Nothobranchius furzeri: one gene and its partners. The protein of the gene in region 1 interacts with the protein of each later gene in a biochemical or structural test. Links are inferred from orthologs where the notes say so. Each region holds a gene or a part of one and is shown in the gene's direction. Other genes may lie near its edges. The genes, in order: fgfr1a, plcg1, anosmin-1 and ncam1b.

The links.
Region 2: the proteins of fgfr1a (region 1) and plcg1 form a complex in vitro, tested with the Homo sapiens proteins (4 studies listed by BioGRID and IntAct, with this or other methods). The link is inferred for Nothobranchius furzeri from reciprocal best matches to the Homo sapiens genes FGFR1 and PLCG1.
Region 3: the proteins of fgfr1a (region 1) and anosmin-1 form a complex in vitro, tested with the Homo sapiens proteins (3 studies listed by BioGRID and IntAct, with this or other methods). The link is inferred for Nothobranchius furzeri from reciprocal best matches to the Homo sapiens genes FGFR1 and ANOS1.
Region 4: the proteins of fgfr1a (region 1) and ncam1b form a complex in vitro, tested with the Homo sapiens proteins (2 studies listed by BioGRID and IntAct). The link is inferred for Nothobranchius furzeri from reciprocal best matches to the Homo sapiens genes FGFR1 and NCAM1.

What each region holds. Positions count from the first base shown.
Region 1 is NC_091757.1:34,197,722-34,206,027, forward strand, and holds the start of fgfr1a (fibroblast growth factor receptor 1-A), read left to right. Parts: upstream 1-3,687; 5' UTR 3,688-4,282; intron 4,283-8,306. UniProt on the Homo sapiens protein: Tyrosine-protein kinase that acts as a cell-surface receptor for fibroblast growth factors and plays an essential role in the regulation of embryonic development, cell proliferation, differentiation and migration.
Region 2 is NC_091755.1:60,794,946-60,802,574, forward strand, and holds part of plcg1 (1-phosphatidylinositol 4,5-bisphosphate phosphodiesterase gamma-1), read left to right. Parts: intron 1-461; coding exon 462-662; intron 663-1,635; coding exon 1,636-1,755; intron 1,756-2,264; coding exon 2,265-2,445; intron 2,446-2,606; coding exon 2,607-2,684; intron 2,685-2,766; coding exon 2,767-2,870; intron 2,871-3,065; coding exon 3,066-3,162; intron 3,163-3,241; coding exon 3,242-3,311; intron 3,312-4,352; coding exon 4,353-4,513; intron 4,514-4,729; coding exon 4,730-4,826; intron 4,827-4,937; coding exon 4,938-5,162; intron 5,163-5,246; coding exon 5,247-5,395; intron 5,396-5,995; coding exon 5,996-6,110; intron 6,111-6,873; coding exon 6,874-7,032; intron 7,033-7,121; coding exon 7,122-7,210; intron 7,211-7,449; coding exon 7,450-7,629. UniProt on the Homo sapiens protein: Mediates the production of the second messenger molecules diacylglycerol (DAG) and inositol 1,4,5-trisphosphate (IP3). Plays an important role in the regulation of intracellular signaling cascades.
Region 3 is NC_091754.1:23,437,281-23,444,909, forward strand, and holds part of anosmin-1, read left to right. Parts: intron 1-1,523; coding exon 1,524-1,668; intron 1,669-2,707; coding exon 2,708-2,854; intron 2,855-7,629. UniProt on the Homo sapiens protein: Has a dual branch-promoting and guidance activity, which may play an important role in the patterning of mitral and tufted cell collaterals to the olfactory cortex. Chemoattractant for fetal olfactory epithelial cells.
Region 4 is NC_091753.1:48,898,369-48,904,081, reverse strand, and holds part of ncam1b (neural cell adhesion molecule 1b), read left to right. Parts: intron 1-459; coding exon 460-658; intron 659-737; coding exon 738-854; intron 855-1,554; coding exon 1,555-2,532; coding exon of another isoform or gene 2,533-2,548; exon of another isoform or gene 2,549-2,550; intron 2,551-5,609; coding exon 5,610-5,713.

The sequences.
Region 1 (8,306 bases):
GTGGTAGTCCAATGATCCGAGATCCGAGAGCACACCTTGACAGTGCTCTGTAGACGGTTTCTATACTGCAGGCTGACCAGCAGGGGATGGAAAATATCTTAGGAGGTAGAGTTGTTGCTGGCACTTTCAGTGTTGGAAGCAAATTTCAGGAGGTGATCAAAGGTGGTCCCTAGATGTTTATACTCTTCAACCAGCTCCAGCTTTCCATGAATGATGGTGGAGGCAGCGGTAACCAGTGCTCTCTGTTTGTTTGAGAAGGACACCACCATCTACTTGGTTTTGCTCACATTCAGTTCCAGGCATGCAGTGTCACACCAATCCACAAACTCCTGCAGGACCTGCCCGTGGTAAACAGTGGGGCCTGACAGAAGAGACAGGAGCACAGTGTCATCAGCATAGTTTACCAGATAACTGTTAGGCTGGGTGGATCTACAGTCTTCTGTATAGAGGATGAAGAGAGGAGACAACACACAGCCTTGGGGGAGCCAGTGGAGGTGTAAAGAAGATCTGAGAGAGTGTTGATAACCAGCGCTCTTTGTGATCAGTTAGTTTAAAAAATCCAGGATCCATAGGATTATCTGATCATCCAGGTGGAAAAGAGAGGAGATTGCCAGCCAGGATGTGAGGTTGCAGGGTGTTAAATGCTGAAGAGAAGTCAGCAAACAGGAGTCTAGCTGAAGAGTTAAGGGGTTGGATTTGGGGGTTAAACCACAAAATCAAACCACCAAATAGTTCCCGAACGCAGATAATGCTGCAGCTCACCGCTCCCCATGGGGATGGGTCAGATGTGGAGATGTAACTTCACCAGTCTGTGTTGACGACTAATGGGACTTTATATCAGGAAATAAAACTCCAAATCCTGCCGTCTGAAGCTGTGGCTCACTTCTACTTCCTGAAACTAGTGTACAGATGTTTTTCCCCAGAGAACGGCATTCGTTTCTACTAGAGACCACTGCAAATGTACTGATTAAACAAGTGTTCAACACCATTAAGAAAAGATGACGGATAAATTGCAGACATTTGAGTGAATGATGTGCACGACCCTTAGCTGTTACCACACCAAACTGTAGCTCAATATCTGTAAAACTGACTCAGCTGTGTCTATTTCAAGATTCCAAGACTGACTAAGATTAGTCAACTAGATGTAGATGTACATCCAATCACTTTTACCTCTGTCAGGAAATAACAAAACAAAAATAAATATTTAATAAAGTAGTAAAACTGCACAAGTTTGGTTTTGCAGCCAGCTGTTGACCGACAGAGTTTAATAACCCAACAAGTAACTAGTCTCACTGTTCATCTTGCTAAGTAACATGCAAATGCTAAATAAATTTCTCTCTGAGGGATATTCATTTCATCACAAGCCTCTACTCTACGGTATTGCTGAGATGCTTTATTCCCACTAAGCAGCCAGGCTTTCTTCTAATATTTTAAAGTGCTCTTTAAGTTTCATCAGGCCTTCTGAGGGGTTTTCACATAGGTCTTCTGGTCACTTTCAGCTGAGTATCCGACCATTTTCAGAGTAGTAATCTGTTTGTTTGACCACCGTTCTCTCAGCTATGAATTGTTCAGGCATCATAAGGTTGAATCTGTATGACATTACCACGTGACAAACAAGGGATCACGTTTAAAGTGATTTTTAGGTACTTTGTCATTAGCAGTCTGCCACAAAGACAGAAATGGTTTTATTCTTTTCACTGAATAAATAAAAAATACCAAAGACAGCATTGTTTCATGGTTATTTCCAAAAGATTTTTTGGGCCTAATCTTGATGACGGATCATCAGATCTTATTCTAAGTCTTTATATCTCTGGTAACACTCCTGTTGAGGTGCTTTTCTGTTGTCTTTTCAAACCATCATCAGAAGTTTGTTTAGTGGGCTGAGCTACATCCATCCTGTAACGTCATCATCCGCTTGGCTGATAGGGGATCGAGGCGGCGGGGCTCTGGTTAAAAACCAATATAACAGCAATAAAACAATGTTTGCTTTAAGTAGAAGTCAGGGAGTAAAATGGCACAACTGTAATAAAACAAAGTAAAGCAAACATTAAAAGCAAGTTGAAGTCTGCGTGCAACCCAACACTACCTAAGCATTTCATGGAGGATGAACGGCTAACACATGTCGAAACACAAATCAGTTAGTTATGCCATTCTTTAATCAAACTACAAAGCTGGGCTTTATGTGTCCCTGCAGCTTCAGCTGTCAGTCATTTGTCAACTATGACTGCAAATCAACTCTCCAGATATGAACTATGTGTTTGATCTGTCACAGCAAACTTTACATTTGTGCTGTGCTGGCTGACACACTTGAAATGCTAATGCTCTTTGAAATTCTGCCAAATCTTTATGTCTGAACATTAAAGCGCTTTTAATAGCTGCTTTGAACAGGAAGCTGATGAAAGAGCTTATTTACTTTGAGAAAATAAATATTTTAGTTTGCTGAAATCTTGCAAATGTGAATTAAGAAAATTTTGTCCATGACAGCATTAGCACAGATTTGTGAGAATTACTTGAAATGCTCATTTATAGAAATGTTTGTTTTGTTGCATGAAAACTAATCTCCTAAATTACATGTTGTGTGCTTTGAAAATCCATGTGTGTTTTATTGTTATCAATATTAGTCAATAGTCCGGGTTAGTTTCATATATAAGTGTATGTAAATCAGTACTGTTCTGATTTTGTTTTTCCCTCTTAAAACGGTACTTCCTAGTTATGGTCCTGGTGTGTGTGTGTGTGTGTGTGTGTGTGTGTGTGTGTGCGCGCGTGCGCGTGTGTGCGTGTGTGCGTGCGTGCGTTGTCCCTGTACTAGTGGTTCGCTGCTGGAGAGGCGCCGTGGATGGCAGGGGGAGCCAGGTTCCTTCAAAGCGCAGCAGACATCGTCAATTTATAAATGTGACACCTGAAGAAGGACGGAAAATAAGCTGTTTACCTTTCAAATTAAAACCTTCAGAGACGCTCATTAAAATGATGACATAAAGGAAAATATTTCAAGCTGGATTATTTTATAAACTTTTAGAATGTGGAACATAATATCCTCACACAAGCTGACATTTATTAAAGACATTGCTTGTTTTTGAACATGTTTTAGTTCTATTTAAGTTCGTTCGATCATCCCACATAACCATAATCCAGAAATAGAAATTTAGTTTTTAAAATTTGGTTTAACTTTACAATCGTGATTCTGCATGTAAAAACGTTCACATAGTAGATATGATACTGCTAGTGTGAATTATGGACTAGGAAAATGTCTGACATTTTGCCACCTTCCACAGTGATGCTTTCATGAGCTGAAGGGGAAAATCTGATTTCTTTTGCTTGTTTCAGGCTGGCTGATCACAGATTACGCAATCATATTTAATATTGACAGATTTTGATAACAAGCTATTTTTTGGCACATCTATAATTATACTCTTCAGGTTTTTTTTCTATCTTTATTGATGAAGAGGTAAAAGTACTTATTAACTTTAAGACAAAGCAACTACATTGTGGGATACGTGAAATAAAAATAAAATAATTTAGTTGAATAATAATAAAAATAATAATAATAATAATAATTCTTATAATTATTATTTATTTATATAGGCTTTTATTTTGTAGTGGTAAAGCGGAAGCTGTGCGTGTAACGTCTGCCGCGTAGCCTGAAGTCTGGAGAGAATGTTCACGCTCAGATTTTAGAGGGGGAGGTTTGCAGCTGTCTGGACTCGCGTTGTGGAAACAGCGTTTCTCCGCCAGGAATGGTCAAAACATTTCCCCAAGAGCAATTTAACAACGAACTTTTAATCAGTTTTTCATTGTGCTGTTTTCCTCTTCGGTTATTCTGTTTGACTGAGTTTAAGAACTTGATGGTAACAGTTTGGTAACTGTGGACCGTAGTTTTCATCTCGTGTGAGACGTGATAAAGAGATTACCGCAAACCAACGCACAAGCTCGCTTTTTCGGACCTGACTAGCTTAGGTAAGATGCAGTAAAGTCGTCCAGGTGGAACTCAAAGGAAAAGGTAGAAGTACGTATATGCCGAACACGTATCGACGTTTTACATCTCTTTTTTTCCCCCTTGGCTCGACATTCTTTTTTTGTATGAAAAGTTGCCGAAAATGCGCAAACTGGTTAGCTAACCGCGGAGAGCTCGGCGCGTGCGAGCTTCGTTAACGGGCCACACATTTAACCTCAGCGGATTCCCAGTTTGTCCTTTTTTCTGGATCTTTTCCTGCATCCAGTCTCCTCTCTGGACCCTGCCTAGTCTGACCCAACACTGGCTGTTTCACAGCTCCCCGCCACTAAGGTGAGCTACTAATTTTATTCCGTCACTTTTTAATTTTTGCTTCATTTACATGTTTGTTTACAAGTTTAAGGGGTTAGCCATTGTCATGTTAGTGAGTTTTATATAAGGAGTTCGTTTTTTTAAAAAGGTGCAAAAAAAGTTGTGTCCCTTAAAGTTGACAAATTATTTAATAAAATTCTGTCTTTCGATTGCAAGATGTTTATGACCGACAATGTGTTTTTGTTCAACAAGTTTATTTTTTCTTCCCTTTGAGAAATCAGAGCTTCATGTGTATAAGATTAGAACCTCCCCCATGCTCGTAAATGAAAGGGTAAGATTTAAGCAGAAGAAAAGTGTTGCCCCCAGTCCTGTTCTTTGTTAAAGCTGCCTTTTAAAAGCAAAACTGGATAGCTCCCCACATCAAGGAAAATGTCTCGAAAGCACATGACGCCATTTTCCTCTTTAATGTACTCATTTAAATTCATGCATACACACACCTTTTCTGTGTGCTTTTGTTTACACAATTACAGTCAAATGTGTCTGAAACATTTACTTTCCAGCTCCAGACAGACTAAATAATGTTGAGTCCTCACTTAACCCAGTAACATGGAAAGGCTTGTCTGATGTCCTGTAAAATAAAAAATGTTGTGCTATGAAGGGAGAGAGGGTGAAGGTGGGTGGTTAAGAAAAGGACCATATAGGGAGAAAAAGTTTTTAGTTTTCCTAAACCATAATGACAAGTGGAAGAACGTTTTGCCCTTTTAATTTACCCGACTGCTCCCGTAGCATTTGAGCTCTTTGCTTTGATTTATATAGTGTTCAAACATTAAGCAATCCATCTATTCCTACAGAATAGTGATGCACCGTTATGAAAATTTTGGGCCGATAGATATCCAATATTAAGATCACTCTTATGGCCAATAACCAATATAGTGGCATTAGTGCTTCTAAAATCAGCAGATTTTGTATAGAATGAAAATTATTAAAGCTGAATTTACATAATGTACACACAATGCACACATTGATGGTTCTGAGATGATTTAATTCACTGTTCACATGACTAAACAATTACACATCACCCCCTTCACCCTCTGAAACAGGCAAACAAATGGAAACAAGATGGAAAAAATATCGGTTGTTAATATTGGCCCGGTTTTATTTATCGGGCCGATATTGATGCCGATATATTGTCCAGCCCTACTACTAGGGTTGTCACGGTGTGAAAATTTAACCTCACGGTTATTGTGACCAAAATTATCACGTTTTCGGTATTATCGCTGTATTTTTTTTAAAGATGTTACATTTTCAGACAACTAAATGAACCCTGTATATCAGGAAAATATTGTCCTCAGTTTGTCTAAATTTTGCTTAATATTTGTTATTTTGTAATTATGTTGTTTATTTGTTTATATTTTTCCCCTCTAGTCTTTAAAATACCAATATTTGCCCATAACTTCTTATTTTTTGTCTGTTTGATGTCATTATTTTAAAAATAGATCAGATGATACTCAGTACTCAAGTAGCCTTCTAATACTTTTTTTACCCTTACTTGAGTAATAAACCCTATACCAGGAAAATATTGTCCTCGGTTTGTGTCCTTCCAGTGAGCTTTGCAGATGTGGGAAAATGTCATCAGGCAGTAATCATTGTTAAATTCATAATGATTCCCGGAGAGAGACCAACTCTTATCTGCCCCTGGGAGCCCCGTAATGCATAGCGTCATTTCAACATGGGGGTGTCCGTGTTGCAGGTATCGGGCCGGCACAATCCCCACTAACAGCTTAAATATAAATTACTGAGGGAACGTCCGGGTGCCAGTTGAGCTATTTGCCTGTGAGGCTAGACTATGGGCATAAAACGTTAACGGCTATGTACGTCCAATTAACTCTATAACTGAACCTTTAGCATAAGCTATCAACCATCACTACATTTATAAACTCATGGCGCACCTCATATAGGTGGATTTGTATGCTTGGGTGCACTTTACTAACCTGAAATGCAAAAAAAAAGAGACAGAGACATCAGAATGGAGTGGTTTCTGTGAACTGCTGCTCCCGAATAACGGTAGATGGGACACAGCGCTCCACTAGCCGTCTCGCATCCCCCCCCGCCACCTTGTGGAGAACCTCGGTATTGCACCCCACACTTTCCTATTCTTATTTTATTACTTTTACTAAATTACACCACTAAATACTTTAACAAAATTATGTGACCACACTTTGTGGGCGTCACACTCGCGACACGGTTTATATGCAGGTAGCGGCGCTGCGGCTGCTTTATATAGCGACTCATTGCATTCTCCCTCAACCCAAACCCTCGGATCACGCATTTTAGCTAAAACGCTAACGTTAACTTGCCTTGCGTTGACTGTAGAGTTGTGGGTGATGGTCACTTAGATGTGTCATGAGATTTGAAGCGTTGCTGCCTTTCACAGACACTTTTTCTGCACGTGCTGCAAACAGGATAGACGTCTTCTATCAACTGTCCCTCGGCATTCATCAAATATCCCAAAAATGCCCGTACTTCCCACATTGTCTTCTTTGAGGGATAATAAATGTCCTGAGCGCTGTCGTCTCCTCCTTTGGCCATTATTTCAGCTTTAGCTTCAGGAAAGTTTTGGTTGTAAACAACAAAGTGTGCATGTGCCGCCGGCAACTTCAGCAGATGATACGGTGGCTGGTAAGGGTCACCGTAAGGGTCACCGCGCCTACACCGCAGCCACGGTAATCCACCGAGATAATATATTTTCGTCAACCTTTTTATCGGGGTTTACCACTACACTGGTTACCATGACAACCCTACCTACTACAGAAGTGTAGTTATACAAGCACCTGAATAATTTAGGATGTTACTTATGTTGCAACATTTTAGGCAGATTTTAAATGTTACTTTTCTTGTTTGTAGACTGAACGGTCTCATCTACAGAGCGGTACATAGTGTGCTGAAAATGATTCTTTGCATTTCAGTACCTGACAACTGATATCCTGCTTTTAATGCTGCTGTAGAACCACCTTTTCAGACTTTGTGACTGTGAGGAAGGGAAGAAGTCAGAGGTGTCTGTTTTTGTGAAAACAGTAGCCTCAGGGAGATGGTCTGATGATCTTGTGGCTACTGAACTGCTACCATGTGCAGACTGGTGCTGGTGACAAGAATGGACCAAAGTGGAAAGGGTGGATAAACGGTGGTACATAATCAGGGAGCTGAGGAATTTTATGCATGGATGGCAGTGAACAGTGATTATGGTGTGGGCCGTGTTATGGGTTTAGGTCTGTAACCTTTGTCTTTGTACAATGAGAGAAGCTAAATGTGTCGTGCATGTTCTAATCAGTTTGGTATAACCTTTTATTTGTTAGTTTGGCAGATCACCAGTGAAACACTTTTATTTTTTTTAGAGCATTAGTTGGGATTCTTATCAGACATTTAATTGTGTCCCTCATTTGTTAAATCAGTAAAACCAGTAGCAAGGAAATAGGAGTTGGTGTTATTCTGGCTTTATTTTTTAAATTAACGCTGAAAAAAACTTCACATTTAGAATCAGATGTTTGGCAGCTGAAAGGAAAGAATTAAGTTAAGTTTTTATTAGAGGAAGGACTGGTTGTAGTTTATTGGGTTCTTTTAGTCTGGATAATTTAGGTTGTTGATCCAATTAATTAGAGTCTAAAATTAAAACATGCTCATTTTACCCAGCTAATGGGTGTGTATGTGCAGTCTACTTTCAATGGCTTAAAATACAAAAAAGTACTTTATGATTGGTCTAATTAGCACAAAGTTGTATCTTGAAACATATAATTGGGACAAAAATTTACCCATGCTCAAGGCTGACACGTTTTTGATTATCTCACAAAATCAATACTTTGTGTGTGTGTGTGTGTGTGCGCGCGTGCGTGCGTGCGTGCGCAAGAAATGACTCAAAACCCTGTTTTACTCATGCTCCTGTAGGAGAGAGAAATAAAAACACCCTGTCACACACTTAAAAACAAAATCCTTTCTCTTTCAAATCCTGATGTGGTGATGGCTCGTGAGGGGCTGGTCCACTACTCTTTGC
Region 2 (7,629 bases), on another chromosome or scaffold:
GGTGTATGTATGTTTGTTCTACAAAAAGCCAAAAAGGGCATGAAAAGGAGATGTATCTCTGTAATGGGAGTATGGAGTTTGGAATGAGGCTAAAATAGAAATAAAATTACCAACTTCTCTTTCAGTTCTAAAAAAACTAATCAGTAAAAATATTTTTGATGCGTATTAATTTGACGTTGATGGGTGGATTTGTGTTTTGTTTTTATTTGGGTTGTTGGTTCATCGCGGGAAATTGAAAAATTGTCATGTAAGAAGGTTAGGCAATTATATAAGCTATTGCTTCTGCCTGAACCCATTCAGTCATGAGATGCCAAATAGACACCATATACAAATGAAAGCATATGTTAGTGAGCAGTGGTATTTGTATCTATTTGTATGACATGTTATTGTACACATTATCTTAAGATGACTGAATAAATTGATCATTCATTCAATATCCCTCTGACCTGTTTTTGTGACAGGCGTTCTGGACGAGTGCAGCACTGTCGCATACACTCTCGCCAGGAAGCTGGCAGCGCCAAGTTCTTCCTGACCGACAACCTGGTGTTCGATTCGCTCTACGCCCTCATCACTCACTACCAGCAGGTGGCGCTGCGCTGCAACGAGTTTGAGATGAAGCTGACCGAGCCGGTGCCTCAGACCAACGCTCATGAGAGCAGGGAGTGAGTCTCTTGGAGCTTTTACTATCGATGACCTGTGATTCACTCTGATCCAGCTCAGCTCTATCCAAGAACGAGACTGTTTGTGACTTGCTGGTGAAAAAGTCTCTACAATTACAGAAGTACTTGAACCTCTGTAATTGGTGGTCTGCCTGAGTACAGCACCCTGTAATTTACCAGTTCAGACATTCTGTCTTGTGGAAATTTTTCTTTAGCACAGGATCGGTATGAAGGCAGGTGAGTTCCTCATCACAGCTGAGACATTAAGTCCTTAGTGCTGGAAACGCTGACGCTCAGCAGCTTTATTACCAGTGTGTGAATGTTGGTAAAACTGAATTATTTCATGTCCAAGTAGAATCTATTCATAAAGGCGCTTTTGTTTGTCACAAGTCTCGACATGAAGAGACCAGAGCGCACCACAAACCACAGCTCCATGTTTTTCTGGATTTTTTGGCCTTTAATTGGAGAATCTAAAATGCTGCACAGTAGTTTTTGTAAAGAGTTTTATATCTGAATGAAAACCATTGGAATCTGAAACACAAACACAGTGGTTTGTTCAGTCGCTGTTGTTGTGGCGAAGTAATGAGGTAATAATTGTCCCCGTGAAACACATCATCAGTGAGCATCTGTGTACAAAAACTCAAATCTCGAGGATTTTTTCAATCAAAATCTTTCCATTATTAAATTAATTGTTTTGGTCCTTGTTGTAACACTAGTTGGGTTTTTTGGTCGTCTCTTTATTGTGCATTTAATATTTGTTAGGATTTTGTTTGTTTTGTCTCTAATTTTGTCCACACTGTAAAATGTCCCGCTGCCATCATGTCCATGTCCATCATTCCTGATCAGCTACGATTTCCAAAGCTGTTCTAGATTAAAACTTCATTTTATTTATTTATTTATTATTCATCTTTAACATTTATTTAGGTGGCTGAGGAAAAAAATGTATTTCCTACTTTTCCTTTATGCTTTTTTATAGGTGGTACCACGCAAACCTGTCTAGGAGCCAGGCTGAGAACATGCTGATGAGGGTTCCTCGTGACGGAGCTTTCCTCGTCAGGAAGAGATCTGAACCCAACTCCTTTGCCATTTCCTTCAGGTAACTAATAACTGCTTCATTTGGTGATCATGTGTAATTTTATGTCATTTAAATCTAAATTTCTTATACCGTATTTTCCGGCGTATAAGTCGCTCCATCCATAAAATGTATAATGAAGAAGAAAAAAACATATAAGTCACACTGGACTATAAGTTGCATTTTGGGGGGAAATTTTATTATTTTTCTTACAAAATCTGAGACCAAGCATTTCACATTGCAAGACGAGTACTGGTAAAGATAACAGAATAAACAATCAGGGCGCAGCAGCACGCCATGGTCTCCAGCAGAGGATGGTGGTGTTTGAAACCCTCCCAGCGGGGCAGAGGAGCTGAAACCTGGACTGGAGCCGGCCCGCAGCAGCGGGGTATACATAATTTGGTATATAAGTCGCAGGACCAGCCAGACTATGAATAAAAGTGCGACTTATAGTCCGGAAAATACGGTAGTTGGAAAAATCTTAGAGATTGCCGTAGCTCATGATGAGTCTTTCGTTGCGATCATGTTTACAGGGCGGAGGGGAAGATCAAGCACTGTCGAGTGCTGCAGGAAGGCCAGTCTGTGATGCTGGGGAACTCGGAGTTTGACAGCCTTGTAGATCTGATTAGTTACTATGAAAAGCATCCTCTGTATCGTAAAATGAAACTGCGCTACCCCATCAATGAGGACACACTGGAGAAGATAGGCACTGCTGTGAGTTTCCCGTTCTATTGTCAACACTGTTGACCAAATGTAATAAACAAACATGAAATCTCAGGAACAGAAATCACGACTTATCCACTAGTTTCCTCAATTAAAGAGGCAGTCAGGGTAGAAAAAACGAACCTGTTAACAGCCAGGATATTGTTCAACAGGAGCCAGATTACGGTGCGCTGTACGAGGGCAGGAATCCAGGCTTTTACGTTGAGGCCAACCAAATGCCAGTTTTTAGGGTGAGCTTGCAGAACACACTCACTGAACCGTGCATATCGATCACGAATGTTGACATCCAAATCTTATATCTGTACATTTCAGACCACAGCTAAAGCCAAATACGAGTATAGAGCTCAGAGAGATGACGAGCTCTCCTTCACCAAGAACGCCATCATCTCCAATATAGACAAGCAGGAAGGAGGATGGTGAGTGAGCTGCGGAGGAAGTCAAGTCTCCATTTGGATTTATTACATTAGTCCAGTAGAGAAAGATGGATAAGGAGTAGATTACACACCAGTCAATAGCATTACATTTATGTGAACATTTATTTGTTTTTTTATAAGATGCAGTGTATAGAAAGCTAAATCTCATTATTAACCCATTATCCTAATTTCCCTCAGGTGGAAAGGTGACTATAGAGACAAGAAGCAGTTGTGGTTTCCTGCAAACTACGTGGAGGAGATCGTTAGTCCGACAGCTGCTGAGCCTGACAGAAATGTGCGGTTGTCATTCTCTAGATAGAATTTAACAAGAGAAACCAAATCTTTAGTCATCTTTTTACTTGATTGTTAAACAGGAGACAACAGAGCTCAGCCCCCTTGGAGATCTGCTGAGAGGAAGTTTGGATCTGGCATCCTGCTCAGTTGGTGAGTTTTCTCTCTACTTCCTGCCGAGCTTTGCTGCAAGGCTGCAGAGCAACCTGCAACCTTCCCAGAGGGCCCGCCAGTGCAGACAGACAGTTACACAAACCGTTCCTAAACTGCAGAAAGATCCAGCAACCGTTTCCATTATGGTCTATGATAAATCCTTGATTTGTTTTGATTGTTGCTGTTTTGTTACGAGTCTGCTTCTGATACTTCACCAACATCCTCCAGCCCAGCGTGTACACATGTTCCTGTCAGACACTGAGTCATTCTGCTGGATGTCAGAAACACTTAATTCAGCTTAAAACTTAAAAACTCACAAAGTATATACAACAGAATTAACGAGCTTTTACAGTATATGTACTCAACTAAAACTGATCATAGATTTAAAAACAGGGAGAGTATTAAAATCTAATTTTTTTTATCTTATTGTTTGAACTTTAAAACTGCAATTTATCATTTAATTTATACAACACAATACATAAAAATCATTCAGATAATTTCTACAAAAATAAAGTGCCTGATTCATATAAAAATGGAGGGAAATGGGGATACAGGACAGGTTTAACAGTTAATTTATATTTAATCTAAAAATGGGCTTAATTGATCATTTGAATATTTCCTTGTCAGCTGCTGTTCTACAGATGGGAGGGGATTCACAAACCACCCCAAATATAAAAGAAGCTGGCAGGTTTAGCTTAAATGACTGGAAACTGGAAAAGGTGCAAATAAACTAGCAAACAGCTTGAAGTTGGAAAACTTTAATTCAAGCAGTAATATCAAAACAACTCTGAATCCTGAGCCATAATTTAGGTCACATTTTTTGACTTCATGCATTGTTGATTGGGCAAATAGCACCATCTAGTGGCTGCAGGATATAAGAACGATTCTCTTGTAGACTTCATAACATTTATTTAAATTTTTCCTTTTGATATGGAAACAGCTGCGTTTGTTTACATTTTTAAAAGTATTATACTTGCATCAGTTTAGTTAATTGCACAACAAAGAACGGAGCGTTCTAACGGATATTTTTCTTAACTCCAGTTGTACGTAATGAAGGCAGGGGTAGCAGGCCTCACGTCTTCACCCTGGTGCCCAACAACCCTTCAGTCGGCCCGGTGCTGGACTTGGCTACCAACAGCTTGGAAGAACTAAAGGAATGGATTTATGGGATACGTGAAGCTACTGTGTTTACAGAGGCCAAGGTAAATGTGTACAAGCACTCGTGCTGTTTTAAAGCCAGATTTTACTCATGAATTTTATTTAGAAATCAGTGACAGAGCTGTGTGCACATATGATGTTTTATGGTGTTACCTCCGTCAGTTCTGCACATCCAGCACTGGTCCATCTTGTGTGGTTTACTAGCATCACCGGGTGTCTGTTGTGTATCTGACTTGTTTACGTTGTATTTCTGGGTCCAGATTGAAGAAGGGAAGTTGATGGAGAGAAAGCACAAAATAGCGATGGAGTTATCAGACCTAGTCATCTACTGTAGGCCCGTGCAGTTTGATGAAGACAGTAAGCATGGCGCTGCTCTATGATAAATCTTCCATTAGATTTGTTTTCACCAAACCCAATGGGTGAAACATTCAAGTGGGGTAATCTGTCTTTTGTTTTCATTGTGTCCAGAGATTGGCACAGAGCAGGCCTGCTTCCGGGACATGTCGTCTTTCCCCGAGACCAAGGCAGAAAAGTACATCAACAAATGCAAAGGCAAGAAGTTCCTGCAGTACAACCGCCTGCAGCTGTCACGGATCTATCCCCGGGGCCAACGGCTGGACTCCTCCAACTATGACCCGTTACCCATGTGGCTCTGCGGGTCCCAGCTGGTCGCACTTAACTTCCAAACAGCAGGTAGGTAGCTCCTTCTCACAACAAAATACGCTGCGCAGACTAGAGCTTTCATCATTTTTACATTCGCATTTTACCTCTGTGCAGACAAGCCCATGCAGATGAACCAGGCCTTGTTCATGGTGAACGGACGGAGCGGCTATGTCCTTCAGCCACCTATCATGAGGGACGATGTCTTTGATCCCTTTGACAAAACCACACTACGAGGCATTGATAAAGTGGACCTTGTGATTGAGGTACAGTAGAAGGTTGGATCACGTGACATGACAGCATGAGGCAAGGGCTTCTGATGATACTGGATTCAGTTTCTCTCCATTAAATGTTACCAGCTTACTGATTTTAAAGTATTCTTCTCCTAATTTAAGAGAATCAGTATCTTGTTTCCTCCTTTAGTGCATTCAAACAAAATCTAGAAATTGAACCCTTTTACAGTTACTTCTCGCAATATAAAAACATTATTCATCATCTGAGCAAAGAGCTGAAAGGGAGCACCAAAACATCTCCTAGTGCACCATTTAGGTTTGAGTCTTGGACACGTAGGTCGGCTCGGGACAATGCAAATATTTAATCGCATTGCAGTGATGTAAAACCTCCATGACTGCAGCAAAAGTGTGGGGAAAATGCATAAAATTAATGTCAGTTCTGCAGAAATTCACAGGCTACAACAGCTAAATGTGTTGGTCTGATGGGTTATTTCCTAAACAATAATTGTGATTTAGACCCAGTCTAAACTGGGTTGTGGTCAGCGTGTCAGTGCGCCAAAACCAGTAACTACATATTTACTAAGGAGCTTAATTTTCATGTGTTATTGTTTATTCCTCTGTTTTCTCCTGAAGGTCCTGGGTGCACGTCACCTGCCGAAGCACGGCCGAGGCATCGTTAGTCCTCTCGTTGAGATAGAAATTTGTGGGACAGATTATGACAGTACCAAAGTAAAAACTAACTCAGAAGGTAAGACCAACTTGAATTTGAACTCTTCTGTGCTCCTAAAAAGCATTCCACTTTAAAACTGTACAAATATTTTTGTTTACTGAATTCATTACGCCTGTGTCACTTCCTAGCCGCTGCTGGAAAACAGGAAGTTGCACAAACAATTAGGAAGTCTGGGAAAACGAGGCAAAACATTTCTCAATGATGTAATTGTAGCTCATCAGGTTTTAGCTGGAAACAAAACCTTGTGGCTCTTTTGTTTATTTTAGTTCATGGTAGATTTTGTTTTGGCATCAAGCTCGCTGACGATCATCTTTGCTCTCCAGAAATGACGAAGCTTCTGCTCCTGTTCATGGTGTTGCCGATTAACTCGACTGTCTCCAGTAAATAGCCAGCCTTTCTTCTCTGATGCTCTTTGATCTTCAGCTTCGTTTCTCTCCAGGGTTTTTGTTTTTCCTGTTTTCTTGAGAGGTCGTCGCAGTGTTTGCTGCCACGTGCAACTTGGTTTCATAGGAATACTAGAATGTTAATAACATTGACGGGCAGAATATTTCACAAATCATCACATTTTCCCCAGAAACCTCCTGCCAGGTGTGACTGTAGTGAGAAAATCCACGTCTGTCTTCATTTTACAGCTGACTGATGTAACTTAGTCAGATGTATCTTTTGTAGTGTCTGGCACAAACCGCAGCAAGCCCAGATGAAGTGGGTCATTACAGATTCACGGTTTGTTTTTGGGTGTAATGTTCAAACAGAATGTGACTTTTTGTTGTTTGTTCTCTAGCTGATAATGGACTGAACCCTACATGGCAGACAAAGTTTGAATTCAGTTTATTAAACTCCGCCTTTGCGTTCCTGCGTTTTGTGGTCTATGAGATCGACATGTTCAGTGACCAAAACTTCCTGGCTCAGGCCTCGTTCCCCATTCAAGGCCTCAGGACAGGTACGTGTTAAAGCAACTCATACGTTTGCTTGTTTCTGGAAAAATAAATGCTTTCTTTAATGAGTTTGAACCTGTCTGTGTTTTGCCAGGGTACCGCTCCGTACCGCTGAAGAACAGCTACAGCGAGGATCTGGAGCTGGCTTCTCTGTTGGTCCATGTGGACATTAGCAAAACCAGGGTGGGTTACGACTCCAGACTGAGCGGAGCTGCTCTTCCACTGACGTGCAGTTATTAGCACTTTAAACGCACACACACAAACCCATCCAGTCTTTTTGAGCATGGTCACATTTCATCATCAACCCAGAAAGCGTTTCTGAAGGATGACACTAGTTTAGAACATGTGAGAAGTTTTCAGGCGTTAGAAACAAAGGAGTTAAAGCGGTCAGCCTCATTAATCACGTTGGGTTTCCTGTTCAGGGTGAAAATGGTGAACTCCTGAGCCCGCTGTTTGCTGCCAGTCCCACAGCAGTACCAGCCTCAGCCCAAGTAGGACGAGATCGTTTTGGGGAGCTGAGCTCTGTGTCCTCCTCTCCCTCCACCATGTCCCCTCTGCCTCAGTCACCCCCCCAGGCCTCAGCCTACAGAGTGATGGATGGC
Region 3 (7,629 bases), on another chromosome or scaffold:
GGTTTTCTTAATATCTCAGCTGGTCATGTTCATCCCTCATTCACCACTGGTTTTATAATTCACTTATGCACAAGGTCATGCGTGGCTTTATTATGCTTTATTTATGCTTTAACACAGATCTGAGCAGCTTCTAATGGCAGTTTTCCACGACTACGCTCACTTTGAATCAGGAAAAGCAGTACTTTTATACTAAGGAACAAAAATCCTCCAAGAACCAGCCGCTAATCATAGCATTAATATCATGTTTAAACAAGAGTACCACTTATTTCTATTATAAATCCCTTTGTTATTCCCTGGAGTGGTTTTGCATATTGGAATACACTCAAGTATTCGTTCCAGGGAGAAAGAAGAGGATTCGTGGCTCTCTCTTTGGAATGCCAGAGATCGAGGCTTCAGTTTCGATTACAGCGAAGACTTCATACAGACAGATGAATCCTGTGGCAGAAATTCCTGAAATGTTTGCTTTTTTATTGAAACAAAACATTTCCTGGACTGACATGGGTTGAAACAAACCATCTCTAAGGGCAAAATGAATAAATCCACTAGAATTTTCTAATTTCACATTGTCTAAGACCAACTATTTACTTGGTCAAGTAGTAGGAATGTGTGTGAAATCTGCCTGGTGGACTTGTAACAGAAAACGGTCATAAATGTGTCCCAGGATGAGTGATGCTCACTTAAAAATGAGACCTGTTGGAACTGCATGAAGCCGAGCTGCAACGGGACCAGGGAATTAAATCCTTTTCACATGGCTGCACAATGCCACGGCTGAAGGAAATTCACAGGGAGAGAGCCAACAGGTGAACAAGTGTCAATCATTCCACAACTGTCTGCCTTTAATAACCACGGTAGACCAGGACAGCCACGCAAGCACATTCACAGCCTTGAAGTTGCGTTTATCGATTCAGTTCTCCAGTTTTATTCGTAAAAGCGTGATTAAAAAAAAAGTCTCCGGCAACAAAAGAGCACACGGGTCTCACTGTCTTCGCGGAGCATTTCAACAGAGACTTGAGTAAAAAGACAGATCGCCTAGACATTCATGCACACTGCTGCTGAATTAGTTTTTAAAATGCGTAGCAGATGTGGCACGGAGGAGATAGAGGTGGGAGACACCAGACACTGTTGACACATGTACTACTGGTTTCCACTTTGGCACCTCGGGGCTTTGAAAGCAGCCCGCTGGTTGAGGAATGTCAAAACACACACAGTCAATAAGAGGAACTCATCAGGTTCACGCTGACGGTGGAATGCTGGAAGTCCAGCACGGTGAAGAAGCCCTGGGAGGTTCTGATAACACGGCTCTCTCACAGGAACCCCTGAAGTCCATCGTCTCATCACCATCCCTCCCTCAGCTCCAGATGTGTTCCTAATAAGCTCGGCTTTCCCACAGGCTGAGTCGGAGACACGATCGGTACAGCGGCGGGGCTTTGAAAGGAGTCTCAAGTGACAATGTGGTAACATACGAATGTCAGAATCTTAAGTTTTTTATTTCTTCTTTGTTTTTTGTTTTTTTCATGCTGCAGGCTCAAAGCTGGGTAGATCTGGAGGGACTTCAGCAGAACGGCAGCTACACGGTGGAGCTGCAGGCGGTCACTTACTGGGGACAGGTGCGCCTGAAGAGCTCCAAGGCCTCCCTCCACTTCGGAACCACCCAGGATAACGAATCAGGTAAACGCCTCCTTCAGATCGGTGCTTTACAGCTTTCTGGCTTTTGTCACCTGTATAAATAAGTTTGCATTTTGTGTTATGTCAGGTTTCTAAAATATCCCCAAGCTTCATCGTGCTTTTTTTTTTATCTCGAGGGCTCAGTAAATTTCATCCACTGTCATCAGGTTGTCATTAATTCTCTGCCTTTGATTAGAAGCTACAACAGGAACATTTTCAGTTTTAAAAGAACAAGAATACCAAAAACAAAATAACTTTGCATTTTATAATCTGTCTTTTCTGTAATAGTTTAAAATTCAAGAAACCTGACAATTTGACGACTTTACAATCGGACCTTTTTTTTTCTTCTCAGAGATGAGAGCAAATTATAATAATGCAATTTTATCTGGAAAAGTGTCTCCCTTTTGCCAAAATAATTGCCTCCTCTGACTCACGACCCCGAGACAATGGCTAAAAGATGACATGAAGCAAAGATGGACCTATTAGTGTGACATTGTACAGCACAAGACATCCTAAAAGGACTGAATCATGTTTAGTTGATCATTAAAAAAGGCACAAAAGGCTGATTTTTGTTGCATGCAGAATCATGCACCACAGAAATCTGGATGTAGCTGCAGACCTGCAAATGCAGACCACTACAGTGTAATCCCATCCATTTTTCATTCATCCAGTTTGTGCATTTAGCTTCTCATGAGAGTTGAGTTTCCGACAAATTTTGAAAGGGCAAATAACCATCACAGGCATTTCAGAGAGTTGGGACAGCCAGGGAACGCTGTCAGCACGTCCGCAGCGAGCCTCGGAGAAACAAGAGCGTGTTTTTTTTGTTGTATGTGTGACTCTAGAGGGAATTGAACCTCCGACCTTTACTGTGCTGTATGTTTGCCCGCTGAGCTACAGCACATTCATGCATACAGAACGGACCTTCCTTTGAGCTGTCTGCTGATCTTTCACAGAAAGAATCAAGTCCGTTTCCGTGCCGGAGAGTGTGTCGTAACCCCGTTGTGTCTTAGCCACAGCAAACGTTTCTCCTTTCTCTTCTCAGCAAAAGTGGTGCTCAAGTCAAAGAAGGGTAAGATATCCCCTCTCGGTTCGAACTTGGCCAAACGCCCCTCCGGCCCTCTTGAAGTGGGCACGCCTTTCTACCAGGACAGTCAGCTGCAGGTCCGCGTCTACTGGAAGAAACGAGGAGGTAAGCGCTCTGCTTTTCAGCTTTGTCTGATTTGAATTAGCACCCCGTTATGCCCATCAATCACTATGACTCATGCACCATAATAAGATGTTATGACTAATTCCCACTTGCTTAAACAATGGCGGACTCCTCTTCTAAATGTGGTGTCAGATGATGTAAATAAAGCAATGGGTCTTCGTGAGGGCTTGGTAATGTGAGCTCTTGGCAGTGCGGTTAAAACCTGCACATGGCCCGGTAGAGAGGAGCCACCGTTTAGCAGAGAACAATAAACACACGCAACTCAGCTGCGCTTGATAGATCTTTGCATTAGCACCAAAGCGGCCCTTCGGTTGAACAAGGCTGATGTCATAGGGAGTAGACGTGATGGTGGGTTGCAGCGCCACATGGGGTTAAAGACCATGCCATGTCGCAGCAGCAGCCATTCCCCAAAAACGTGCTGCTCATACCAGAGTGAAAAATGGAAACCGTGGTCTCGGGGTAGCCTGTCAAGTTCCATTCGCTGGTCTGTGTTACGTTAGAAGTATATGTCATCGCCCAAGCCAAACTCCACATCCTGGAGTCAAGAATGCAATCCCTGGATTGAGAAGCCTGGTGAGACACCAACTGCTGAATCAGAGAGAGGAGAGCACAGAGGGGGATGGAGTTGGCGCAGAGCTGTTGGCAAGTTTGGCCTGAACGCCGTGAGCTGAGTGATGCTGACAAGGATCAAGCGTGGCTGGGGAATCACTGTGTTGCAGAGCAGAGTTAATCCAGGTCCTGCTTCATTTTCGGCCTCTCGTATTGTGGTCCTGTTCTTTGGCGTATCTGCCACAGCCTCTCATTAGTCTGAGGGATGGCCTTGCTTTAGCTAATGTAAACATACAGACACGCAGATGGCCCAGAGAGCTGGAGTCTCTGGACATCTGGTTTGTGTGACTGAGAGAGGGGACAGGTTAACTGAACCATGATTAAACTCTCACTCATTGTGTCTGTGATCCAAAGCAGCCTGGCCTCTGGATTTTGTCCAGCAGACAAAAGAGAACGATATTGTACACCAGCGCTGATAATGTATCTTTGTCTGTCTAGTGCTCTGACAATACACAGCAGCTTGGCGGCGGTGCGACTTGTGAAGCTCGCCTCTAGTCATGATTTATCGAACGCTGCCGAGGTTGTGTTCCCCACCTGATTTCCATGTCCTTTTTCATGTTTTACATAGCACTTCCCCTCTCCGTCAGACCCGGCTTAGCCTATCTTGTTTTTTTTTTTTCCAGTTTCCCGGTTCCCTGTAATTCCTCTCTTCTGCTTCCAATGAGCTCAAGGGCTTCAAGTGCCAGATCTGTGTCTCAGCCTTCAAAGAACCCCTTTTATCTCCCCACCACAAGCCCGGCTCCCGCTGAGGGGTGAACATAGCACAATTCAATTATTAATCAGAGGCGTATTTCAAAAAAATCCAAGGAACACAGCTGAATTAATTATAAATCTTGTAAGACAAGAGGAGGGCGATGGGCAGATAAACACTGTGGGGGAGTTTGTGAGGAGCTACTGTACAAAAATAAAGGTTGCAGCTGAGATGACCATCCCACACATGGTCAACTTTTCTGTTACTCGTGAGAATTGGGAGGCTTTTCTTTATGGAATTTGATGTTCAATGACAAAAGAAACGGTTTAGGACTCAGGAAAATGTTAATAAGTTCATATAAATACAGAGAATGTATTACTCAGTTTACATTGCATTACATTTCTCTGAGTATGGCACGTTGTTCATTGCTCCGATTGATCCTAGAGCTGACTTCAAGAGACGCGTGCAGAGGCAGTTTGAAAGACAACCGTAGATTTCAATGGCTTGTGGCCAGACCAGGAACTTTGCCCAGAAGAATGGTCTGCTTTACATGGATATACAGAAACTTCTCCACAACAACCACAAAAGACTCCCAAGGGGGCAATACACGGTGTTAGGAACTGGGGCGTGTAAACTTTTCATCAGGGAATTTCTGGTATTTTATTGTGTTATGGTGATTTGAAATGAGTTTGTACATTTTTTTCACAATAAATTGCTTTGCAACATTCCTGACCATGAGTAAAAAAAAAAATCATATTCTTTGAGAAATGGACAAAAAATAAATAAACCAATAACCTCACCAGGGTATCGGCTCAAATGTATTTACGTATGAAGGATGGCTTGTCGGGCTAACCAATGTCCCCAACCAAAAGAAGTAGGCCAAGTAAATAGCAGAGGTGTGACCAAGTCACTGCTTTGCAAGTCATAAGTAAGTCACAAGTCTTTCCAGTCAAGTCTTGAGTCAAGTTCAAGTCAAAGACAATCAAGTCCAAGTCGAGACCAAAGTCAGTGATGTGGAAGTCCAAGTCAAGTCCAAGTAATTAACTTTGAATTTTCAAGTCATAATCAAGTCATCTGTTCAACTTCAGTTTTATGACGATGATAATAAGTGAATTCTAGAAATAAAGCCTCTTAAAGCTTCATTTATTTTAACAAACAGAATGATTAACAAGCAGAATGTGCAACAGAAACTGATTATAAACAAAGTGCTGCTGCATTTAGCAGTAAATCAAACCCAGAACAAATAATGATTTATGATTTTTGTCCATGTCGGGCCACTTTTGTGCTAAAATATCAAATATGCTCAAGTCATCATTAAGTCCACAAATGCAAGTCGATTCAATTCACATGTCACTGGCGTTCAAGTCTGAGTCAAGTCGTAAGTCTTTATAGATTTTATCAAGTCAAGTCAGAAGTCATAAAAATAATGACTCGAGTCTGACTCATGTCTAAATCGTGTAACTCGAGTCCACACCTCTGGAAAGTAGGCAACCAAAGTAGGCTTTGGAACACTGAATCCGTAAGGATCACGTTCCAGGCCTTCAGTACTCAATAGAGAAGGTTCAGTTTACAACAAAATAAGTAACGCATTAACTGATGGCTGTTTCCTGACCTGAAAAGCCCTTCGCTGCCAGCGTTTGAGTGTTTTTAATGTTTTTTGAAGAGCCACAGAACGTTGTGCTCTATGATGATGTCAATGCTAAAACTACCAAAACAAAGAGGAGACTCACCTTACGTCAGGAAGAATTCGTGTTTTTAGTGTGATCCGTTCTTTCATAATCCGTTGTTGAATTGTGATCGGCAGAAGTTTTCCGGTTTGCTCCTCACTTTTTTTACAGCAGCGGCCCAAAACGATCTCCTAACACATGGATTTTCTGCTTCCTGATCACATGTGACATAGATGGATGAAGATCAGCTTTAGAGCTGTGATGTTTATTCTCATGGTGCAGGGGCTCGTTCCGACGCCCGCCCAGGGAAAAAAATGCAAATGGCGACTTTAGTGTCACTCTGTGAAAGCACGAGGGACTGCTCTCGATATAAATTGAGGTTATTAAACGTGTTGGATTGTCTTCGTCTGATTTTTAAGGCCAAACGAGTGTGGAGCGTTACATGTAGCCAATCAGAATGCAAGGTAATCGAAATACAGTACACCGTACGCTCCTTCTCCATCATGTTTTTACTTAGGTGTTGATCATGTTTAATCTCAAGAGGTTTTGTGAGATTTCTGACCAGGTTTGTGTGTGTAGAGTGATTTTTATTGTGACATGTGTGGCCTCTCATGCTTTGAAAATCATCTGACAATTTTAAAATCCTGCCGTGTAAAGGAGATCACCAGACTAACAAAGCGTTTGATCTCTAGAGTCAGCAGAAACGTGCCAATGAGCCAAGCACGATGACTTGGAGAGCTGCATAAACCTGAATGTGTTTTGTGTTGAGTCTCAAAAACGGTGTTGACGTTAAGGTTTACAAAACGATGTTTGCATAAACCACTATGAGGGTTGCACTGTTTTTAGATGGCAGTAGTGCCTCATTCTGGCCACTCAGACAGGTTCACAGGATGTTGTTAGGTCCTCCTGAACAGAGGGAGTCTGGACACTGTTCTTTGGGGGTGGACTGGAGAAAGACAGAGACGTTTCTGCAGCAGTCACTTACACGAGTCTCAGCAGAACATGGAGGGAATAAATGTGTCTTTAGACTTAACGACAAGTCTTGGACTTATATTGTTCCCTAAACAGTAATAAATCCTAATGCAACAACATCAGCACTCCCATCTCAGATGCTCAGTCATCAAGAGTCAGACTGTGTCTGGATCCCAGAGCAGATGATCTCTTCTTCTACAGCCTCTCCGAAATGGTGACTCTCCTCTACACAGCCCAGACTATGTTCACTCCGCTCTGAGCTCGACTTTGTATTTGTGTTTCTTTTCTTTAGCCCCTTTAAGTGCTGAGTTCTGTGAAGTCTACTCCAGGTTTAGTGAGTTTATCAATAAATCTATTGATTAAAGAGCAAGTCACCCCCAAACCAACTTTTTTTGCTGATAAACGACATGAACGAGTGTCTAATCGTGCTGCAGACATGTGTAGTCAATCATTTGGAGCTTCAGTGCATTTTAGTTAAATTTTAAATATTCTGCCTAAAACTGGCAGTGTTGCGCCGTCGTCAGGTAAAAACTCTGCACTGTATTTGAATTTAAATCTGCCACCGCTATTGGCTAAGAGGTATGCTATGATGTAAACTGGTACGTTATGATGTCACAATGCCATTGTTAGCCTGTGTGTTTGTGTATTTGTTAGCAGCTCCGCCCTCTCGGTAGGCGCCCTCTCCGCCTCTGCCAGGCAACAGTATTTGTTGCAATTTTTCAAACATTAAGTGGGAGTGAAGTCTCTTGTAGGGGGTGACTTGCTCTTTAACATTTAACCATTTTTTTTCGCTGCGTTACATATTCCATTCGTGTGTG
Region 4 (5,713 bases), on another chromosome or scaffold:
CACAAAGATGCCGTGGCGTTTTGTCGACCGGTGACAAATTACAAATCCCAGCTCAACGGAGATAGCCGGTGCAGACTTAGCAACCCCTCGAGCTCTCTCATTGTAAACAAAGACTGTGCCCCTCTTTAGCTTTTGTAGGGAGCAACCAGTCTGCCCAACTCCAAACTACTTACGCCAGGTCCAAAGTTTGCTTAAAGGCGCAATCTTTTTCAGTCCAGATTTTCTTTATAAATCATTAAATTTAAGTAAAAAGTCACTTATGCGGTTTTCAGACACAGTCTGCATAAGCAAGCTTTACCTTGGTAAATTATTATTTGATCACATAATTTAACTGAACAACAAATCAGCGCTCTAACATGAATCGCTCTGTAGCAGGTAAGTTTTTCACCGTAGTATTTTATGTGTTTTATAGACGTGTGTTCTGCTCCGGGTCTCTTTAGCTCGTCTCTTGTCTGGCAGATTTGGGTGAAGAGGGAGTGCTCCCCATGGGCACCATGCTGTGGGCGGGGATCCTTGTGGTGGTGTTTGTGCTCCTGCTGCTAGCTGTGGACGTCACATGCTACTTTGTCAACAAATGTGGCCTCATCATGTGCCTCTGTGGCAAATCGGGCACGGGGACGAAGGGACACAACCTGGAGGAGGGAAAAGCAGCTTTTGTGTGAGTCTCAGACACGTAGCCAGTCCACCATTAGCTTACTGGTTCCCTTTTAATCTTCACTGTTGTCTCAATCCTACAGTAAAGATGAGTCCAAAGAGCCGATAGTGGAAGTCAGAACAGAGGACGAGTGCACAGCCAATCACAATGCAGCAGGACCCATAGAACCCAATGAAACGACTCCTCTCACAAAGCCAGAGTGAGTAGAGCAGGAGAAACGGCCCTCGGCCTTTCAACGCTCAAGTGTCCTTAGCTGTTGTACATTGCACTCCACTTGAAGAATCAGTGTTATTTAACCTTTATGAAATCTGAACCTTGTTCGTCTTTAAGTTATCATTCTCGAGTGGAGTCCAAAAAATCCTGTTGCTTTTCTGTTTTTATTCCCCATCAGAGGAATTATTGTACTTTGTGTTTCTTCTTCAGCTTGGAAGATTTTCTGTCTCATTATATGAAGGTTGAAGCAATACCAGTCTAAGACTTTGTTCCTCCTTAGTGTGGTCAATTCACAAAGGCATTTACCAACCACAGCTAGCCCTGCCCCATAAGGAGTGTGTCTGAGGCTGACACTGGTACTGTTTAACCCTTGTAGGTGGTTCTTTGTGGTGCTGTAGTTTCCTGCTGGAAGGCTGGTGCCTTTCGTAGAACATTAGTTGGTGTACTCCATGTTGGTGTGTGTATGGGATGTATCCTTTAATGTTCACTCACAGCATGACGCCCTTTTTCTTTTCTTTTTCTCACTAGGCTTAACAGCTGCTCTTTTTAAGTTGCTTTGTCTCAGTTTGTTTGAGTTTCTGAAGCCAACTAATCCCTCTGCATGCTCTGGTCCGGGCCACCCTTCCTCTGTCACAGTCACCCCGGTGTCTAGTCTGTGTGTCTCTGTTCTCTCCCTGCTCTCTCAGGCTGGTGGCTTCTCTGGCACTGGACACCCCCTCCTCTGTAGCCACCAACTCTGACACAGCCACCGCAACAAACGACCCTGGCCAGGAGAGCCCCTCTAGCGAGACCACTACCCTCACATGCAGCCTGTCCACCCTGGCCAACGAACCCTCACCCACCCCTCTCGCTGCTCCGGCCCCGACCCCAGAGTCTAACGCGGCGCCGCCAGCACCGGTCATCTCCTCCACCGCTGTAGAAGCTAAAATGGCCCCCTTGCTTGAAGAAAGGGGTTATAAAACACAGGAGGAGCAGGAGAAGATAACCCCTCCTCGAACTCCCGAACAGCCTAGACCTCAAAAACCTGGAACGCCGATCCCACCAAAACGCAAACACTCTCCAAAACTAGCAGCTATGAATGCTAAAAACAGCCCCCCAGTTTCCCCCCTTGCTGTGTCTTCTACATCTTCCCCTTCTACTCCAGACATGAAGACACCTGCTCCAAATCCACCTGTCACTAGGCTACCTCCACAACCTAATCCTAACCCAGATTATAACCCTGCTCCTGATTCCTCCTCGCCTAGCTTTGCCGCCTTTGACACAGTCAAACCCACTGAGTCATCGGCTGACAACAACATACCCGCAACAAAACCCGTTAGAGGTGTTCCCTCAGATGATACCGGGGCTGCTGAAGATCCAGATGCTTCCTCGCTGTTACCGATCACTCAGATAGTTTCTGCAGTTTCCGACGAAGTCCCGACGCCAGCGCCAGACCTGTACGACATAACGCCTGCAGACACAGAGCTCAAAAACGCTAATTTAGAGTTGGAGCTGACAAACGGCACAGGAAGACACCCTCGACCCCTCTCAGATCTGATTAGCTTAGAGAGCCCGCCCGCAGACCCCTCCCAGCCCAGTGGAGACGGAACAGACCTCCCCCCCTCAGGCCCAGTTGTGGAGGCTTCAGAGACTCTGGTCAAGACCGCTCCTCCTGTCAACGATGAGTACGGCTCCCTCTAGAGGTTTATCTGTGTGTGTGTGTGTGAGTGTGTGTAATGTGTATGCCCATTCATTCACCACCGCATCTTGCCATTGACCACACGATATCAGCTACTGTAACAGTAAACTGTGGTAATGACATGAGGGGGAACTTTTAGGGGAACGCTCCAGATAGAGGCGATGTGATGGTTGTCATTTTTTTGCTCGTGTGCGACAGTTTTCCATTGTGGGTTCCATTTTCCAGAAACAGTCACATCCAACAAAGACGAGCACCTTTTCAGACATGGAGGTCATGTTTTAAAAGAGGTTTCAATAAACAACTAAAATATAGCTTTTATCTTTATTTGCTTCAGTAGATTATCTGGAAAACCGCTTCTGGTGTTTAACTCAAACCGCTTCAACACTGTAGCGCCGTTTCCAATACAGGAGTTCTGGGAAATTTCTGTTGTGCCTCTTTACAAAGTCGGCCCTTTCATGACTTTGCCAAAATGGCAATAAATCACAACTTGGCGCTGATCAGCACCAAAAGGTGTCCACGGACATTGTAAACATGAATTTAGTCCCTTCAGTGGACCGGGAGAGCACTTGTTGGACGTAGTAAGAAGTGTTCAGTGACCTGAAGAAAAGGCGTTTTTTAACGACGCTCTGTAGAGACCACGAAGCTCCGTAAATGGCGGTTTTATGGGAGGATTTCCGTGGCGTTTTTCGGTTTTGAGAGTTTAGAAACCGATTTTAAACAGTGTTACGTATTGTCTTTTCCTTTCATTCTGCTCGACCATTCGACATTTTCAGTTTTACAAATGCCGGTTGTAAGGTGACGATAAAGTTCCAATCAGCATGAGTTAACCACAAGCACCACCCAGCAACTCTACTGGCCCAGAAAATGGTCCTTTCGGTCCAGCCCGGTGAAATAGAGATACACGCATGCCGCGAAGGTCTGGTAAAGTTCTGATAGTGGCCTCACATCTATGTTCTCAAGCTGTAGTGATGATAGTCACAAACCATTAAGCTTCTGTAGATATTAGGGAAGGTAAGAGCGAGGTGCTTCAGAGGCTGAGAAATTAAAGTTTCTGTTTAGATAAATAAGTTTAAAAAAAAGGTCACAGAAATGACCTTGTAAATAATTAAACACATCTAACTTGTTGTTTTGGGGGGAATTAAAGAGATTTTAGAGCATTTGTGTACAAATAATTACCATATTCCTGAATGACCTCCGTTTAGAGAAATAAAGTTTAAATCTGGCAAGACTGATAAGCTAATGGCTAGTATTAGTGTAGCTAAGGTGGATCACTGCCAAATGTTATTCTACAAACTACCTTCCCTTTTCCACTGCACTGTTATACATTAATGCCAGTGTGTAGGTTTATGAAATATCTGCTTGAACTCCTCTGGTTTACAGTTTTCAACATGGCAGCCATCCACTTGGGGTGATAGGCTAAAATTAATTTGTCCTGCAAATGTTTCATAACAATGTAAATAACCAAGTAATGTAAATGGGCAGCAGTGTAAAGACTCTTCAATCTGACATGTAAATTAGTAGAGCTGCAATGATCCAGTCAGACTAGCCGTTAGCTTATCACTCATGTCAGACGTAAACGTTTCTTTAAACGGAGGCAGTCACGCACTTAGAGACTAACACCAAACAGTTTCCTGCTCCTCCTTCCTCCTGGTTTAAAGTGGAAAAACAACAGATGTTAGGCTGCAGCTATCAAATATTTTTGTAATTGAGTACTCTATCGAATCTTTTATCGATTAATCGAGTACTCTAATAAATTACCCCTTTGTGTTTGTAAACCATTATATCAAATAGCATGTTATAAAATATGAAAGACCTCTGAAAATGTGCAATTGCCAGTTATTCTTCAAGTTTTATTCAAAACACGTAGACACGTATAGTCAATAATTCAGCACTTTAGTGCATCTTAGTTAAAATCTAAATATTCTGCCTAAAACTGTCAGTGATGCACCGTCGTCAGGCAAAAACTCTGCACTGCATTCGAATTTAAATCTGCCATCGCTATTGGCTAAGAGGTACACTATGATGTTAGATGGTACATTATGATGTCACAATGTTGTGAGTTTGTGTATTTGTTAGCGGCTCCGCCCTCTCGGTCTGCTAGGCAACAGCATTTGTTGCATTTTTCAAACAGGAAGTGGGAGTTGAGTAAGAATCTGGTAGGGGGTGACTTGCTCTTTAAGTGCTGTTTCTGGTCTGCAGCTTGCTGTCCCATGTAGAATTAGTAAAGTTTCTACCAACACAATCACTGAACCTCACTTTTAAAGAAATTGGTTAAAAACTGCTGAGTGCCGTTTTATCGACATCACCCTGCAACAGACAGATGCAAAAATTATAAGCTGAATTACAGAAATTAATAGTTCCAATAATACCTAATAAGTGTATCTGAAGCAGATACATCTAAGCTGATGCTTGACTCTTATGAGCAAAAATCAAACCAAACAGAAGAACCTTGATTTCATGTTTTAAATGTCAGACATGTCACTGTGACTATTCTGATTAAAGCCATCAGAGGGCTCTTTTTGTGTGTTCTGTTATTAAAAGCCTCTCTGTGAAGCGGCTGCACCCCCCAGCCTCCTGAGGCAGAGCTGCATCGTGGCTCTTTGCTCGACAGTCAGGTCATGTCTGAGTGAACCTGTAACAGCAGCTAAATAGTAACGTGACACATTCTATGTCTGAAATGTGCTCGTATTGATTAGATGACTCTTTTCCCAGCTGGAAGCCGTAGACCTCATCCAGAAAGTAAACAGGCGGGGGCTTTCTTGCTCTCAGCTGCAGGCAGCTGCTGGAAACGCGTACAAGCTCCGTTCTGTTTTAGTACAGCCAAAGTGATTCAAATATAGTATCTGCTAAACATTTATGGGATGTGGGATATGTCATTATCTGTGTTTTTATTCGACTGTTGTCAAGGTGGTGAAGAAATATGTAAGAAGATGTCTGAACACGGTGTCGTCTTACATATTGGGTAAAGATGTGTTCAGCCAAGCCGTTTGTTTGCTGGGACGTCTCGCCGCGCCGCAGAACTCAACATTTCTAATGTGTCTCTTTTTTTTTTCCCCTCTGCAGAAAGATTTATGCTGATGAGAAAAGCAAACTGGAGGAGGGAGACTTACCACATCCTCTGATCTCTGCAGCACACAACAATGTCATTCAGACAAACGCCACAGAGA